Drosophila melanogaster: one gene and its partner. The protein of the gene in region 1 binds, or shares a complex with, the protein of each later gene. Each region holds a gene or a part of one and is shown on either strand. Other genes may lie near its edges.

The links.
Region 2: eIF3j (region 1) and eIF3g2 share a complex: the UniProt entries of both Drosophila melanogaster proteins name them as parts of the eukaryotic translation initiation factor 3 (eIF-3) complex.

What each region holds. Positions count from the first base shown.
Region 1 is NT_033778.4:9,966,451-9,972,006, reverse strand, and holds eIF3j (eukaryotic translation initiation factor 3 subunit j), read right to left. Parts: upstream 3,079-5,556; 5' UTR 2,788-3,078; coding exon 2,772-2,787; intron 2,547-2,771; coding exon 2,455-2,546; intron 2,267-2,454; coding exon 2,153-2,266; intron 2,089-2,152; coding exon 1,800-2,088; intron 1,736-1,799; coding exon 1,599-1,735; intron 1,534-1,598; coding exon 1,471-1,533; 3' UTR 1,110-1,470; downstream 1-1,109. Other genes in the region: CG12134 (uncharacterized protein), read right to left, coding at 1-530, 586-613; CG12133 (uncharacterized protein), read right to left, coding at 3,656-4,130, 4,195-4,742. UniProt on the Drosophila melanogaster protein: Component of the eukaryotic translation initiation factor 3 (eIF-3) complex, which is involved in protein synthesis of a specialized repertoire of mRNAs and, together with other initiation factors, stimulates binding of mRNA and methionyl-tRNAi to the 40S ribosome.
Region 2 is NT_033777.3:20,406,454-20,410,668, reverse strand, and holds eIF3g2 (eukaryotic translation initiation factor 3 subunit g2), read right to left. Parts: upstream 2,405-4,215; 5' UTR 2,343-2,404; coding exon 1,521-2,342; 3' UTR 1,426-1,520; downstream 1-1,425. Other genes in the region: Tmlh (trimethyllysine hydroxylase), read left to right, coding at 2,846-3,035, 3,095-3,999. UniProt on the Drosophila melanogaster protein: RNA-binding component of the eukaryotic translation initiation factor 3 (eIF-3) complex, which is involved in protein synthesis of a specialized repertoire of mRNAs and, together with other initiation factors, stimulates binding of mRNA and methionyl-tRNAi to the 40S ribosome.

The DNA of each region.
Region 1 (5,556 bases):
CACGAGGAACGCGTTGCTGTGAAACTGTTCGGTGCCGCAGCAAATAATCCGACCGTTGGCGTTTCTGTCGAAGCACGAAAGCGATTTGGGCACCGGAGGCACATTAGGGTGCTGCGTGTACTTGAACCGCGCCTGTTCGCCTCTTAGCCGCAGATCGTAGAGGCGCACGTAGCCATCGGTGGTGCCGACCAGGATGTTGTGTGGTCCTTCGTCGAGGAAACGAACGCCACAGATGCTTACGCTCTGCGGCGAATCTGTGGGCGGCAGATAGCTAAAGTTCTCCAGTTTCCCGGCGCCCGAATCCAAATTATAGATATGCACTGCTGAATTGGACAGTCCGGCGGCCATCCGTGAGAATCCTTGATCTGCGGCCAGGCTAAGAACATATTCACGCTGCAAGGACACACTGACTTCGTCCTGCGGCTTGTACTTCAGCTGGAATTCGGCGGCAAGATCCTGTGCGCTACAAGTGTCCTCATCGCCGATGTCTTCCTCGTCTTCCGAGTCCGGAAGCGCTTCCCTCGCAGCTTCTGCAGGATGTACGGATTAATCAGGCCGTCTTGGCAGGCTTATAGCTAATAAAACCTTCGCAATATTTGTTAAAGTCGCTCATTCTTGTCTATTTTTAATTTGCCGCACGTGCATTAAATGACGACAGTGCTGACTATTCAGCTAGATTTAAGCTAACTTGGGCTGAAGACACATTGAATACTTAATAGACGAGTTGAAAGGGATAAGAGTGCACTTCAAATGCGTCAGCACTCTTTCTTTTATGACGAAATCCACTTATTCGACAACTGAATTTATTTTTAACTACTTCAATAATATGATTTTGAAGCCAAGTCACACACCACACCTTGCGATGCTTCTTCTTGGCTATGCAAACAAAGCCGTTCACAGTGAAGCGCCTTCAAATTACGGCGCGCATTGTGATCGTTTTAAATAAATTAAAAATTATGGTTCCTTTGAAAAGTTCATGGTAATGGTAAGATAAAAGCGGCTACCTATAATTAACTCAATTGTCAATCATCAACAGTTCCACCATCATACTTGTACACCCGTACCACACACCCACCCATACAGCACAATAAGCAAGATTTCTTTGTTTTCGTTTAATATCGATCTGTAGTTTTATTCTTTATACAAAAATGAATTTCACAAGAAGCCGTTCCGAATACGACCTACATACATGTGCTGTCGCCATAAGTCAGTTGCCTAAATATTCTTTCGGTTTGGAGTTGGATTTGCGTGTTCGTTGAGGTTTCTTGATTGCCTGACTTGACTATGTAACTCGTTTTGTGTTATGTATGGTTATATAAATATATATTTACATATTTATATAGGTTCTGCCATTTTATATTTAACAAAGGACTCTTATTCCTGCGCAGCATCTCTAACAAGAAGAACTCTTCAACAAGCAACTATGCATTCAATAATTAGATATATGCGGGCTACATTTATAGATCCTATTCACATGAAGTCGTCATAGTCTTCGGTGAAGTCATTTCCGTACTTTTGGTAACCGTCAATGTCCTGCAAAAGAGCGGATTAAATAAGTTCATTCGTTGATCTCGAACGGCGGCGATTGAAACACTCACGTCGTTTTCGGTGCGGAGAGTGACCTTGCCCTTGCCCTTTCCAGCGGGCTTTTTAGCATTGGCCTTTTCCAGCTTCAGCTTTTCCGAGTGCAAGATTTCCACGTTCATCTTGACCTTTTTGATGTCAGCAGCGCTCACTAGATAAGGTGCGAAATCAAATCAGATAAGCCGTCTTTAATTGTCAGCCAGCTAATCACTCACGATTCACGCATAGGCTGCGCACCAGATCCTCAACAAATTGGGGGAAGTGCTCCGACTCGCGGAATTGGCCCACCTTCCAGCTGAGCGTTGCGCCAAATTCCTTGAACTCCTCCTTGGTCTCGGGGTTGAAGGCGTCAAGACCTCCGCACGTACTCGTCACACCGAACGCTTCCTGGGCATGCTTGAGATCAGAGGCCTCCTGGATTTTTTGCAATCGCAGCTTCTCAGCCAACTTTTCTGCAGGCGATAGGTTGGCCAAACGTTTTGCCTCCGCTTCCTCCTCTAGGAGCTGTTAATAACAGATGATAACAATATAGCCAATGATTGAGAAATGCTTTTGAGCCTTATCTCACCGCCTGCTGTTCCAGTTTGGCTTTTAGCGCCTTATTTGGCTTCGGTTTGGCTGGTGCTTCTGTTTTCGTAGGCTTCTCCTCGTCCTTTTTTTCCTCCTCATCCTCCCAGCTGTCCTGTGGGCAGCAAATAAACAAATGATTCGATCAGTCTGCTGCAAAAGTGCACACGTGTACAGCGAAACGAAAGTGAAACCGAGTGCAGAAAAACAAGTTTTGGCCCATGGCATTTGTTGTTGGGCACTTGGATAGTTGGTTTGAATGCGGCACTGCTTTCGATCTCACTTGGATTTCGTTAGTCGCACCTTGATGTCCTCATCCTCGTCCTCGCCCTCCCACTTGTTTACGCTGGCGGCGGCAGTCGGCCGGATGACCACCTCGCTGTCTGCTGCGGATTCTGCCAGGTAACAGAATGAGTTCCAGGAACATGGTGAATAACAATGATTTCAAACGGTTAGTTGGCACAGTGGCTAAAAATACTCATCAAGGCTGGTTGCACGGCACTCCAACAACAACAGCAATAGCAGCAGCAACAACAACAACAACGACGGAGACCACGTTTATTGTCCGCCGTGCAGATGACGCACCGCCCACTCTTCCGCCCAGGCCAATCGCAACTTACCCCAATCGTCGGCCATGTTAATGGTTGCCTATTTGCTTGCGGGATTTGTGCTTCTGGATGGGATGGTGCTGGGATCGACTTGTTTCCAGCCTCGGCAGCGATTTCAGGAATTTTCCAAAACCAAATTTCTGTGGATCTGTAGTGTGCCCAAGGCGCGACTAGCGGAAAATGCGTGGGTAACGTCGCCGATAGTCTGTTGCCATCGAATATTCGTAGTGCGGCCAAGGTGATATCAAGTTATCGACAATTTGAAATTTGTTACCCTACAATATTTCATTTTTCATTTTTTTCCTTTCTTGATTGTAAGATTGCTTATTTTATTTTCAAACACAAATTTGTCAACTTTGTTAAGAAATCTTTAAGTTTTTAAAGATTTGAGTTACCCTACAAGTTTTTTTCAAAAAAAATTCGTGATAAATCTCCCTCTTCGTGGTGTTCTAAGAAACTTACTCTTAGAGTTATAAGGAAAATTGATTCGACTCGATAAATTATATATAGTAGAGAGTATATACATACATAAGCATGTTCTTGATAAGAAGAACTAGCTGTGTCGTTATATACCTCGAACTCCCCAATTGCTGACTAAGGCTATCTTATAGTCGAGGAATTCTTTCGATTGAGAGGCTAAGTCATCCTTATTGGAGTTAGAATTGGTCTAGTTAAGATCTGGATTTGTTTGCAAAATGTGAATTATGTCAAACGTCTGCAATTCTCAATGGTTACATCTGTTTTTAACATAATCATGTTAAATGTGGCTTTTTGTCCCAAGAACGGTTTTAAAGATAATTGTGTACTTTCTTTACTTGACTGTTTTGGCGATTTTGTTAACAAAGAACAACATCCATTTCTGCATGCATAAAAAGTATCATTTTAATAACGTTAAATTAAATTGGTATTCTTACAGATTTGTATTTCATTTTACGTTCATCTTCAGCGATATCATTGATTTTCTTCTTTATCCACTCATAATATGAGGAAGTTTTCGTGTAAACCGCTGGCCCATATCCGTAACTGGAGGGTCCCCCTCCGTAGGACGTTATTCCGGCTAGGTAATAAAATTGATCAGCACCCCTGCCCACCGAAGCCATCAGCGGGCTACCGGAATCTCCCAGTCCGGTGTCGGTGCCATCCCATCCCATGGCACATATCTGGATGTCCTTATCGACGAGCAGTGTTGGATACCGATTCAAGCATTCATCCGGACTCATTCCACTGATGGTGCCTTGGCGAAGTACGGTGCTTTTTTGCTGCAGACCCGAATCGCCCCAGCCGGCAATTTGAAAAGGGAAGTTTTTGAAGGAGGAAGTTGACAATTCAATGCCAGGCCAAATGCAAATGGGTCTGATCTGAAGAGTGTATCTGAAAGAGAGGACATCGATGGGAAAATGTGAAAAGAGGGAACCCCAAAGAGCACACTACTTACTTCACCCGACTCTTCAGACGCAACAGAGCAATGTCGTTGTAGTGTCTTCCATTTCTCGTGTAGTACTGCTCGTGCGGAACCCTCAGATCCACATCGATGTCCACGTGCGCTGGAGCCCATATCTTGGCTCCATTCGGCAGCCAGGTGTAGTCGGGATCGTTCTCGGTGTCATGCTCGCCCAGGCGCACACGTGCCACGTAGAAGTCATTCACATTCAAACAATGGGCTGCCGTCAGCACATAGCGACTGGCGATCAAGGAGCCCGCACACATGGGAGACGGTCGCTGCTTTGCTGTGTAGGCTTCGTAACCCAGCAGGACTGTCCAGGGAAACTGGTTGGACTGTGCCTCCATGCCGCCTACGATATATGACGAAGGAGGACTCTGTCCGCAGACCCTGCTATCTGGTAGTTTATCCCCTGCAACCATCGGGCAGCAGGTAAAAACCATGTGCACTAGCTCGTGGGCAAAAGGATTAATGTTGCATAGTTTGTTCCGGTACTGTGATTTTTGATCGTTTGTCATGTTCCGGGGATGTAGAATCTTCATAAGAGGTTCACATTTGCTCAGTGGGATGCAAATCTCGTCTAGTCGGCAAAAATTGAATTTTGCTAAGGGGGGTAACAAAAATTGACCAATTAATGGAGCTCAAAATGGCCGAAAATAGCATTTGTAACACTGTATGAAATCCTATTAAAGATTGCATTTTCCTGGTAAGACTATAGTTTTGTGTAGCGAAATCAACCCAATGAAGTTCCAATTTTGTAATTATAAGGTATTAATTATTGTTGAGACCAAAAATAGATCCGTGAGCTGCCAAAGTATATATTTAACACTGACACTGATCCGATGAAATTGTAGATATGTATATTGTATTGTAGTTGCCACTATTTACCAAATTGGAAAGAATTCGCCAAGGAAATCGCTTGAAGCAAAAGTGCCAAATAAAAATGGATCGAGACCATCTTGAAATGTCAAAGCCTAACCGAATACTGAATTCAAAAGCCAGTTGGTCTTAAAAGTTCAAGCTTATCTCGATTGCTAAAATGATTCATGGCACGATGTCCAATCCACAACTTTCCTTGGGTTAATTATAATGGCCTGCCTGTCCGTCCGTATGAATGTCGAGATGTCGGAAACATTAAGAGTAAGGAAGCATGTAAGTTTTCTTTAAAACCGTGCCACGCCCCTGTTACGCCCTAAACTCCTAAAACGCTCACATCCTAAAAGTCTTCTGGATACCAGGAAACGTTCAAATCCTACTACTTTTAAACATATCAAAACTGTAGTAATAGATTGATCAGAGCTATATCCTTGCTACACGCCAAATTATTCAAATTCTACATATCCATATGTTGCAGGT
Region 2 (4,215 bases), on another chromosome or scaffold:
ATGGCATATTTGAATATTCAAATGCCCCCGAGAGTTTCAACGCCGTCGAGTCGATGGCCTGTTTCTGCGGTACCCTGTACAATGGGGGAGATGGGGTGAACTGCACTGTAGTGCACAGGGCGTATGAAGAATATTTCAAAATACATAATGTGCTGTGTGCGTATACTTAATGGGATAGCTTTCTGGATTATTTAATTCTTATTCTAATTAAAATTATTTATGCTAAATTTTATACATTATTTAGCCTCTATTCAAATGTGTTTTGTTAGAAGTTACGACAGGTAAAACTTAAAAATTAAAAAGTTGAATAGGAACATGGATTCTTTTAAAAAAGTTTGTAAATATCCGTTATTGGAATGAGTTTGCTTACTTTAAATACCACTTTAACTCCAACTACTGGGTATTTCTTATTTAACATTTGACTTTTAATCTTCTGTTTGTTTTTCTCTGGAAGAGTGAGTGAGTGTGCGTGCGGTGAGCGCACATGACCTGAAGGTGCAAACTGAAAAAGAAATGCGTGGCCGAGGGCGTTCTCCTTACCAGGGCGCCTCATACCCCCAACTACCCCCCCCCCCCCCCACAATGCTAACTAACCTGTCAAGCCGCCCACCTGGCCACCCATTCATTCGCCTTCCACCTATTCATTCTGCCGCTCAAACAAAGGCCGGGGACGAACGAATGAGCGCGCCGCAGAAAAAGTTAATTTATAAATTATTCAGTAATTTGTTTTAGACTCTGCTTTAGCTGCTACCCATCCCATACCACCGCAACAGCAACAACAATGGAAATAAATTTCTTTTGTGCCTGGCTTTGATCCGCCCCTCATTCAAAATGTGTATCTAAGCCGGGACTTTCCCGCGAACACTATCCACCGACCACTCATTCCCGGTTCAACGTCATGGTCGCGTAGTTGGCGTCCCGTTCTGAGGGGCTCCGCTCCAAGTATCGTGCGCATAAGTCCGCTCTTATATTTAATTATTAATGTTCATTCGGTCCGGCCAGCGTCTTGTGGCATTTCTCAGCTCTTGCCGGGAACGCCGTGCCATCATCATCCGGCACCACGTTGGCTTCCATTTAAGTGGCTTTCACCTTTGTACGGCTGCGGAGCACGGCGAAAAAATCGCATTTAAAACGGAGCATTATCGGCTTTAGTTCGCTCAAGGCGAGCTTTCTCTTTTATGCACTTAAAAAAAGCATCCACCTTGGATGTCCAAGGGTATATCAACTCGAAAATTGAGTGGTCCCAAATGAACCAGACTGTTTTTAACAATTTTCATATCTATCTCAATTCATATCCTTTGCTCAACTGAAAGATGAAAAAATCTACTACGAAACATTAATAAATAGATTTTATATTATTATTAATATATTCTCTGTAATTATCGAATGTGTGCAAATTAAAAATAAAAGTGGTCGCATATTTTGCAGGGTGTACCAGAATTTTATTTTGATTTCACTGCCACCGCAGCTCATTTCCGTTCTCGAATAAGCAGAGAAGCGAATACACAAGGCTATAGCCATTACGGCTGAGGCTTGGACCACTCGACGCAGAGGATCAAGTGGTCGTAGCCGTGGCCATTAAGAACCTCAATGGCGGCAGCTGCATCCTGGCGGAACTTGAAGTGCACGTAGGCGAATCCCTTGCAGAGGCCGCTGTTTTTTTCGCGCGCCAAATACATCTTGGTGTGTGGTCCGATTTTCTTTACCAGCTCCTCGAGATCAGTCTCGGTCATGGATTCGGATAGGTTTGAGATGCGAACTGCCGACGAATCGTCCCGATCCCGACCCCGTCCCCAATTTTTGCTGCCAGATATGCCTCCGCCGTCCTTCATGAAGGGTGGTACATATTTTCCGGTCTTGCTGGGATCACTTATAGCGGCAGCTGCAGCGGCATTGGCCTTGGTTTCCATCACGGTTTTGCTATCCATCGAGGTGCCCTTGTAGGGACAATTGACACTCCAGTGTTCGCCATTGCAAATGCGGCACTTGGCGATGTTCTTGCCGGGATCAAGTTGGGTTTCGTGGGTCTGGTCGAAATCTTTGGAGCCGATGAATTGCATAAAGATCTCCTCGGAGGCCATTGTCGTCTGGGAATTGGGTCCGGGCTTGTCCGATCGCGAATCCCCAAACTTAACCCAGTTGCGACGACGAGCCACAGCCTTCGGAACAATCTGCTTCTCGATCTTGAAGGTTCGCACCACTTTCACCTTCTTGCCATCATCGTTGAACTTATACTCCGTCACGTACTTGAAGTCGCCCTTAATGTACTCATTAGAAGGCGGCAGTCCATCCACATAGTCCGCATCCACCTCATCGGCCCAGGAAGTAACGAAAGTCTTCATTTTTTATGATTTCCCACACAACCGGTACAAAATGAATTAAAAACTTAGAGATCTCTAGTTTTAGAGAGAGTTTTTCCATTTGAATTTTACTTGGCCTGTTGAGATGGGAAAAAATCCCTTTCAATAAAAGATATTTGAAATTAATATTTATATTTTCTTTAAAGTAATGATTTTTTAATAAAAAATACAACAACTTGAGTAGCAATTCACTAAGATAACTTTGCAACAAAAACATACCATTCAATCAATCTTGATTAAATTATAAATTTTTTTACTTTCATGAGTTGTTCTTAATAATTACATATTGTCTTTAAATTCAATAAATTTATTAATCTTATAGTTATTCCGTAAACAAATAAGTTCTTATCTCTGACTTGAGCATGAAAGTAATCGCTCTCCTACTGATAACAGTACAATTAAAACCGAGCTGAAACTTAATCAAACTTTGAGCTGTTAGTTCACTTTCACTGCTCTAGTCCGTCGGTTGTTCTATTGGCATTAACATGTTGCTTTTGAAGCACCCGAAAACCAGCCAATCAATAGAAATCAATGAGTTTTGGCTCCGTGATCATTGTCGATGTGTGGAGTGTCTAAATTTCGAAACAAATCAGAGGCGATACGATGTCTTAGATCTACCAGCTGATATAATGCCACTAGATGTCAAATACGACGGGATGAATCTACAAGTGCAGTGTAAGAAAAAATTGATGTAAAATGCACCTAGCTTCGATTTTATTGGCCTGCCATTTTAGGGAGTGATGCTCACAAGTCGAACTATGACCTGGACTTTATCTTCGACTCACAGCTGGAGAGGTTGATAGGTCGGCGATCAAAGTCCACTAATCTGACACCATGGAATCGTAGCATTATCTTGCAAAACGAACGGCACTTACGATTCCCATTGCCCCAGCTGGTTTCCAGTGATAACGAAGTCAGATCCCTGGTTGAATCTCTGGTGCGTTATGGCATTGTCTTTATCGATGATGTGGCTCCCACCGCGAATATGACAGAATTGGCTCTGCGACGAGTTTTCCCCCTTATGAAAACGTTCTTTGGCGAAATGTGGACTTTTAGCGATAACCCCGATCACGCGGACACCGCTTATACCAAACTTTACCTGGGTTCCCATACGGATAATACCTATTTCTGCGATGCAGCCGGACTACAGGCTCTACATTGCATTGAGCACTCGGGATCGGGTGGCGAAAATTTCTTTGTTGATGGTCTGCATGTGGTTCACGAACTGAAACGCCGGTATCCCGCCGCTTATGATGTACTGTGCAGTGTCCAAGTTCCTGGAGAGTACATCGAAAAAGGGGAGCACCACTACCACACTGCCCCCATTATACAGGTGGATCCACTGACTCAGGAATTTGTTCAACTCAGACTAAATGTATATGATCGCGCCGTGTTTAATACCATCCCTCAAGCCGAAATGGCCGAGTTCTATGACAGTCTTCGCCAGCTTTTGCTAATCGTCAGGGATAAGCAACAGCAGTGGGCTCTCAAGCTATGTCCCGGCAGCATTGTTCTTTTCGATAACTGGAGAGTGCTCCATGGTCGAGAGGCATACACAGGAAGTCGTACCATGTCCGGTTCCTATGTGCAGCGCACAGATTTTCTCAGCAAGGCTCGAGTGCTGGGAATTATTGACTGAAAGCTTATTGAAAAATACCTAATGTATACCGAATTAAAACCTTTTATGAACTAAGAAATTATGATTTATTTTCTATACTTTCTAGTGCTCCGCATATTCCTTCAGCAATCATTTATGTATTATATGGTCCGTACCGACTTTTATACTTTTTGCAATGGGAAAGTTTCATGCGGATAACTTTAACACTGAGAGATTATTTTGTGGATAGAAGAACAT